2 linked regions of the Alligator mississippiensis genome follow. The protein of the gene in region 1 purifies or fractionates together with the protein of each later gene. This does not show direct contact. Links are inferred from orthologs where the notes say so. Each region holds a gene or a part of one and is shown on either strand. Other genes may lie near its edges.

Region 1 (3,743 bases):
TATCAATCCAAGGCCTATTACTCACTGCGTACTTGTTGGCAGGTGAACTGCTCAGCTGTCCCTTTGCCCAGAAACAGAAATGGGGCAGATGAGACAACTTTATTGTGAGTTTTGAGTGCTTCCATGAACATGGAGCAAGCTTCTTTGCATCTACCCTGTGGTTAGGGCACGAACAGGGGCAGTTTCCATGCCATGCCAGGTACCATGGTGGAGGAACTGACCCCAAGTTCACAATCAAGCTTTCCTTACAGTAACGGGACCTCAAACCCTTCTTTCCTTCTCTGGGCACCTGCTGCTCCAAGTGCGTGGGGAGTTTGAGATCCCTGATCTTGGTGTGTGACCTACTGGCTGGCTTGTCAGGCTGCAGGAAGCTGCTCTCTGTCTAGCTCAGGGGTCAGCAATGTTTTTGGGCAGAGTGCTAGAACATCCACAAACTCTACCTGTAAGATGCTGGTGGGCCAGGGGCAAATGGCCGGGGAGCCATGATGGGCCCAATCCTTCTTGTGGCAGTGCCAAACCAGCCCTTTCGCTGCTGTCTGCCCTGAGGCACACATGCCAAGCACAATGCCTTTACGTGTCACACTCTGGAACCTGTGCTAGGATTGCTAACCCCTCATCCAGCTTGTAGGCACTATCGGATAGCTCCACTTCCACAGAGCTGGGGTGCCCCTGGGGTGATAACAAATGCCTTCAGGTCCTGGGCATCACAGCTGGCAGAGGTCCCATAAGGTGAGGACAGCTATGCAGGGGTTGACGGGGGAGAAATGAAGGGAACAGCCCTGTGACAGGCTGGTTTCTGCCCCACTGGCCTGAGGTCTGGGCTCACTTCCCTTGTGTGGATGCTGGACCCAGCTCTCTGTAATGCCTGGGAAGGCTGATGGACCCCGTTAGTGTCAGGATGGCTCTAAGGGACTGTGTGGTGTCTCCGTAGCTCCCTGTGCCACAGGCCTGATGAGAACCTGTGATCATCTTCTGCCCTTGTGAGTCCTAAGCACAATCTCCAAACCTGTGCCACCTCTGGGCAGAATGGCACGCAGCTGGCCTGGCACAGGTGGGACTTAAGGGGTGAGAATTAGAGCAACAACTGGGAAATTCATGTTTGGAGTCACTGGTTGCAGGATGGGAAATTAAAATAAATTGAAATTTTAAAAATCCTGCATCATGTTGAAGGCACTGCACAGCGCACTGATGGAGTGTACTGTTTCCTGCGTGTTTGTGAGTCAGGGGTGGTTTCTCATCTCTGCCCCCCTGCCTGTGAACAACCTGTCTCCCCTCCCTTTCTCCTCCCTGCCTCTATTGTTCCTTGCCCTCATCCCTCCTTTCTGTCCACTCAGGTTACTTCTTCCTTTTGCTGTCCCTTTGCCCCCATGGCCCCTCCTCTCTGTTCTTAGAAGTGCGCTTAGAGGAAATCACCTTCTGTTCTCAGGTAGGCACCACCCAGGACAAGCCCAGCCTGCACAGAGCACAAAGAACAATCAGCAGAAGACGGGGCCGTGCAGCCTCAGACCCTCCAGGACAGGACATGGCTGAAGAGGCCACCTGCTCCATCTGCCTGGACCTCCTGAAGGAGCCGGTGACCATAAACTGTGGACACAACTTCTGCCAAGTCTGCATCACCCGATACTGCGAGGACCGTGTCGATGACTCAGATGACCCTGTCCCCTGTCCCAGCTGCAGAGCAGAATTTCAGAGAGGGAGCTTCCCGCTCAACACTCAGCTCAAAAACCTGGTGGAGAAGATTAAAGAGCAGAGTGTGAAACCAGGAAAGGAGCAGACGGAGAATCACTGTGTGGAGCACGAGGAGAAACTCAAGCTCTTCTGTGAGGAGGATGGAAATGCCATCTGTCTGATCTGCAGGGAGTCCCTGGCTCACCACAGTCACACAGTGCTCCCCATCCAGGAGGCTGCCAACAATTACCAGGTAGGTGACACCAAAGACCTAGGAAAGCCCATTGCACAGACACACACTTACCTGGCAGGAGACATCCCATGATTGGTTTCAGCTCAGGTGGTTGTTCTTATCAGGCAAAGGCAATCCCCTTCTCTTCGTCTGTGAATGACTTAGTGTAGCTGAGTTGAAGGTCTATCTCTTGCACTGCAGGCAAGCTGACCTCTGAGAGAGTCTGCAAATGCCTCCCGATGCAAAGATTGGCTCATTGGTCGCACCCAGAGAGGGGTGGTGGACAGATCGGTTTTGTCATGGAGGGATATGGGCAGTGGAGTTCCCCAGGGCTCGGTCCTCGGGCCTGTGCTATTCAACATGTTTATCAGTGACTTGGAGTGGGCGTGGAAAGCACACTGTCCAACTTCAGTGATGACACAAAGATGTGGGGCGAGGTGGGCACACTGGAGGGGAGGGGAGGGACAGAACCCAACTAGATCTAGACAGGTTACAGAGGTGGGTGGATGAGAATAGGATGGAGTTCAACGCAGACAAGTGCAAGGTGCTGCATCTAGGCAGAAGGAACCAGCAACACACCGGTAGGCTGGGGAATACCTTTCACAACAACACAGCTGCTGAAAGAGATCTTGGAGTCATTGTTGACTCCAAGACAAACATGAGCCACCAATTCAAGGAAGCAGTCAGGAAGGCTAACGCACCTTCTTGTCATGCATCCACAGATGCATCACAAGCAGGGCCAAGGAGGTGATCCTCACCATCTATGTGACACTGGTCAGGCCGCAGTTGGAGTACTGCGTCCAGTTCTGGGCGCCACAACTCAGGAGGGATGTGGCCAGCATCGAGAGGGTCCAGAGAAGGGCCACTCGCATGACCAGGGGGCAGCGGGGCAGGCCCTCCAAGGATAGACTAAAGGGCCTGAATCTATTCAGCCTCCACAAGAGAAGACTGAAAGGGGACCTGGTGGCCATCTATAAACTCACTGGGGGGACCAGTGGAAAATAGCTGATGCTCTGTTCCCTCAGGCACCACCCAGGATAGCAAGGAATAACAGCCACAAATTGATTGAGAGCAGGTTCAGCCTGGATATCAGGAGGTATTTCTTTATGGTTAGGGCTGTCAGACTCTGGAATGGGCTCCCAAGGGAGGTGGGGCTCTCCCCTACCTTGCGGGTCTTCAAAGGGAGGTTGGACAGATATCTGGCTGGGGTATTATGATCCCAGCACTCGTTCCTGCCCAGGGCAGGGGGTCAGACTTGATGATCTGTTCAGGTCCCTTCTGACCCGAGTAGGTATGAAACTATAAGATCTTGAACAGAAAACTTAAGTTGATGAGGAATAGCTCTTGGGCTTGCCTTTAGCTTGCTCCTTTGGCCTTTTGGAAAAATGAAATTAGTGGGCACCTGAACTCCAAGGCCTCTGGGCTTGTGGCTTGCACATAGGATGCTTGCCATGGATTTGGCATTATCTGAAGCCCCAACCTGAAGTGTCTGCAAGGGAGAGTACTTGCTGGTGGTAGCACCACATGGCCATGAATGATTGAGCTCTGCTTAGTTGATAGGATTGAGAACTAATTTGGCCAAAGAGATAACATTTTAAAAAAGAAATACATTTTGTCTAGTGCAAGGTGTGGAGAAATCACCCAGCCCCCAGCCCCCCCCCCGAGTAAATCGCCCAGTATAGCGGGGGAGAGGCACCTTCTGGTCACTGAATCATGCTCTGGGCCTCCAGAATTCCCTGGACATGGATGTGAGTAACTTACCTGAAATCTAGTGAGGAACTTAGATTGAGGTGCTCTAGTCGCATATCAAAAGGTTAACCAGCTTATATTGATTTGCTCAAAA
Region 2 (3,743 bases), on another chromosome or scaffold:
ATACCCCTATACCTGTAGGGCTTCCTCCACTCCCCCAACCTCAGTGCATACCCATGGGCCCCCCCTCAGACTGCTGTGGATGCTCCTAGGGTCCCCCCTGCCCCTGCAGATCTGCTCAGAGCCCCCCTCACCCACCACCAAGGTGCCTCTAGGGTCCCAGCCCCTGTAGAGCCCCCCATAATACACTCCCTGCAGAGCCCCCTATACCATAGTTCCACCCCCCACAGTCCCCTGCCCGGCTCCTGGGTTTGCCCTCCATCACCCGCCTCTAAAGACCCCCGAGGTTTCCTAGCCCCGGCCCCAGACCCCCCCCCCGTGTCCCCTCACCTGTGTGCGTAGCGCTGGGGGTCGTGGTAGCTGCGCCCCACATGCCCGGGGGCCCCCGCGCCTCCCCGGCCCTGCAGAAATGCCTCCAGCACCAGCCGGGTTTCGGCCTGCACTCGGCACCGCGGACGGGGTGGCGCTGGGGCCCCCGCCATGGCCCAGCCTGTGGGGGGGGAGCAGGCAGGGCTGAGCACGGGAGCACAAGGGGCCTGCCCGTGTCCCCGTGCGGGAGCACCTGGGGGGGACCCACTGAACCCAGGTGTCCCGGGACACCTAGGGGAGCAGAGCTGGGAGCCTTGCTTGGAGTGGCAGTGCATGGGGGCAATGTCCCTAACCCAGCTGCCCCCAAGTCCCCCCCGCCGCCCCTCACCCTGCCCGAGGGGGGGGGGGGGAAAGCTCCGCAGCGGCCGGGACCTGCGTTCCCCCCTACATCCAAAAGGGGACTCAAACTTCTGGACCTGGCCACTGCGCATGCGCCCCACCCTCTCCTCCGCCAAACGGGGGGGGGTGGCTATGCGAGGGGGCGGGGCCTACCCAGACCACGCCCCGTGACTTTCTGCCGGTTCGCAGGACCGGGGGGAGGGGTGAGGAATACTCTGTGCAAATGAGGGTTGGGTGGGATCTTACAGCTCATTTGCATAGGCGCATCTCTCTCTCTCTCTCTCTCTCTCTCTCTCTCTCTCTCTCTCTATTTCTCTGGGGCAGGGGCTGCTCCCACCCCCATTTTTATGGGGACTCCGCAGGGGGGTTGCCCCCCGCTCAGTGAGGCTAAGTCCCGTGTTATGGGGGTGACCTACTCCCCACAGCTCCAACAGCCCCCGATCACCCCTCTTGGGGCATGGCCCTCACCCCCACAAGTCAGAAACCCCCCACCCCGAGACGGGTCCCCCAAGCAGGGGGCTGCACCCCCACCCCCAACTTGGGAGGGTCGCTCCAGGGGGAATCAGAAACACTTCGGTCATGTGACCCTCCGGGATGTGACGTCACAGGCGAGGATTTGGAACTGCTTCCTGGTGGGGCTGGGTAGGCATGGGGTTGGGGGAAGGACCTTCTTATGCGGGGAGGAAGGGATACCTCCCTGCGCTGCCTGGGGTGGGATCGGGGCCCTGGAGGAAAAAGGCCCGTGGGATCCCCGCCCTGCACCCAGCCAGGATCAGGCCCGGTGGCCCGCAGGGGGGAATTCCCCTGCTCCACCCCCAACCAGCACTGGGGCGGGATCGGGACTCCTTGGAGGGGGAAAGCTCCTGCTTGATGCCCTGCCAGGATTGGGCCCAGCCACACCCTGTTGGGAAAAGGGGGTGGGGAGCAGCCCCTGCTCCCTTGACCATTGTGCCCCACTCCTCCAGGCGCTGCTGCCATGGGGTCCCAGCGGCCGCTGCTGGTGCCCTGGCTGCGGGAACAGCTGGACAGTGGGTGCTACCCGGGTGTGTGCTGGCTCAATGCCGAACGCACCCGGTTCCGCGTGCCCTGGAAGCACGGACTGCGCCATGATGCCGCGCGTGAGGACTTCCAGCTCTTCCAGGTAGGGTGCCTGACTCCCTGCATGGGCTACCCCTACCAGGGCTGTGTCTGGGAGTGAGGGGCAGTGACAGGACCTTGGGTGACAGGGGGCTGGCATTGAGGGGCACCAGCAAGGGGGGGGGGGGTTGTGAATGAGGAGCAGCGACAGGGCTGGGGTGGCAGGGAGCTGCGGGTCAGGACTGAGGGGTATTACCAGGGCTGGGGTGGGCAGGGGCTGCAGGTCAGGAGCGGGCAGGGGCTGCAGGTCAGGAGCGAGGGGCACCAGCAGGATTGGGGTGTTGGGAATGAGTGACACTGGCAGAGCTGGGGGGGGCCGGGGGGCTGCAGGTTGGAAGTGAGGGGCATCGGCAGGGCTGGAGGAGGCAGGGGACTGCCAGGTGGGAGTGAGGGGCACAACAGGGGGGAGTGAGGGGTCTCTCATTTCTTCTCAGTCTCTTGCCTAGGTATGGAGGGCCTGGGAGGCCGAACATCTGGGTTCTTTCCTAGCAGGCATCTTCCCTGTGGGCAGGGCAGGGCTGGGGGCAGCGGAGGAGGTAGGGGGCTGCATGAGGGGCACTGACAGGGCTAGAGGTGATCCCAGGGCTGGGTGCAGGGACCGGTGGGTTGGGAGTCTCCCTGCTGTCCCTGCCACATCTTTCCTTTCCAGGACTGGGCCACTGTCAGTGGGTGCTATCATGCAGGTACTGCCCCTGTGCCCTCCATCTGGAAGAGGAATTTCCGCTCGGCCCTGAACCGGAAACCTGAGTTCAAGGTGGTCGAGGACAACAGCTCTGATGCCACCGATCCCCACAAGGTCTATGAGATCCTGCCTGTGGGGGTGCAGGCTGGTGAGTGGGGCTGAGGTTTGGGAGTGAAGGACAGTGGCAGGGGGCTGCGGGGCAGGAGAATGGGGCACCAGGTAGGGCAGGGGGGCAGTGGGGTGCGGGTTGGGAGTAAGAGGCACTGGCCTGTGGTTCTGGCTCTTAAGCTTGGTTCTCCCTCCTCCCCAGGTGCAGATGAAGCCCCCCTGGTGGCAGGGAGGGCTGACACTCTCGATGGACCCCTAGAGCAGCTGTTAGGGGAGGGCTGCAGCCCGGTGGGTGCCTGGTGAAAGTGGGGCGGCCTGGGGTAGGGGCAGGACCTGTGTTGGGGGAGGAGGACATTCAAGAAGTTAAGGGTGGAGGAAACACCTGGGGAAGGGGCTTGAGGAGGTGGGTGGGGCCTGCAAAGGAGGAGGATGGGGCTAGTGAGGAGAGGGTAAGGGGTCTTCATCTGAATTGTGGGGGTAACCTTTTCTAAGACGCACCCAATTATGCCCCAACCACCAGGACTCGGACCTGGAGCAGTACGTGCATTTGATGACCCTCTGCAGCCCAGAGGAGGGTGAGTGATTCCCTGGGACCATGGGGGCAAAGACTGGGCTCTTGGTGAGGGGCACAGCATGCCCACACTGCTCAGCACCAGCTGCCTCTGGCACAGAAGCATCCAGAGACACTGTTTGACTGTCTGGAATCCAGGTGTCTGGGCTCCCAGCCCTCCCTCCACCCTTGCTGTAGCCCCCCAGGCCCCTCCCAGAGCTGGGATAGAACCCAGGCATCTGGGCCTCCTGTCCAGGCTCTTGCCAACCTCTGACCTCTCTCTGTTCCAGACATTTCTTCTCCAGATCTCTCACTGTTTGGCCCTGGGGAGGCAGTAGGTAAGTAAAGTAGATCAACAGCCCATGCCCTCGCCCAGCCCTTCTAGTGCCCCTCAGTCCCAACCTGCAGCCCTCTGCTCCCCCCTGCCTCCAGCCCTCCCGGTGCCACTCACTCCTGACCCGTAGCCCCCTAACTACCCTTAGCCCGGCTGGTGCCCCTTAGTCCTGTCCCATAACCCCCTGCTCCCTGCAGCATGTTGACGCCCTTCACTCCTGCCCTTCA

Evidence for each region. Proteins that work in one complex are often made in the same cells at the same time.
Region 2: the proteins of E3 ubiquitin-protein ligase TRIM39-like (region 1) and IRF3 purify together in Homo sapiens (affinity purification with western blotting; 3 studies listed by BioGRID, with this or other methods). This does not show direct contact. The link is inferred for Alligator mississippiensis from reciprocal best matches to the Homo sapiens genes TRIM21 and IRF3.

The regions. Positions count from the first base shown.
Region 1 is NC_081824.1:485,829,252-485,832,994, forward strand, and holds the start of E3 ubiquitin-protein ligase TRIM39-like, read left to right. Parts: upstream 1-1,026; coding exon 1,027-1,051; intron 1,052-1,391; coding exon 1,392-1,921; intron 1,922-3,743. UniProt on the Homo sapiens protein: E3 ubiquitin-protein ligase whose activity is dependent on E2 enzymes, UBE2D1, UBE2D2, UBE2E1 and UBE2E2.
Region 2 is NC_081828.1:40,029,549-40,033,291, forward strand, and holds the start of IRF3 (interferon regulatory factor 3), read left to right. Parts: upstream 1-1,039; 5' UTR 1,040-1,052; coding exon 1,053-1,347; intron 1,348-1,670; coding exon 1,671-1,846; intron 1,847-2,288; coding exon 2,289-2,378; intron 2,379-2,491; coding exon 2,492-2,672; intron 2,673-2,834; coding exon 2,835-2,920; intron 2,921-3,152; coding exon 3,153-3,207; intron 3,208-3,472; coding exon 3,473-3,520; intron 3,521-3,743. Other genes in the region: BCL2L12 (bcl-2-like protein 12), read right to left, coding at 328-641.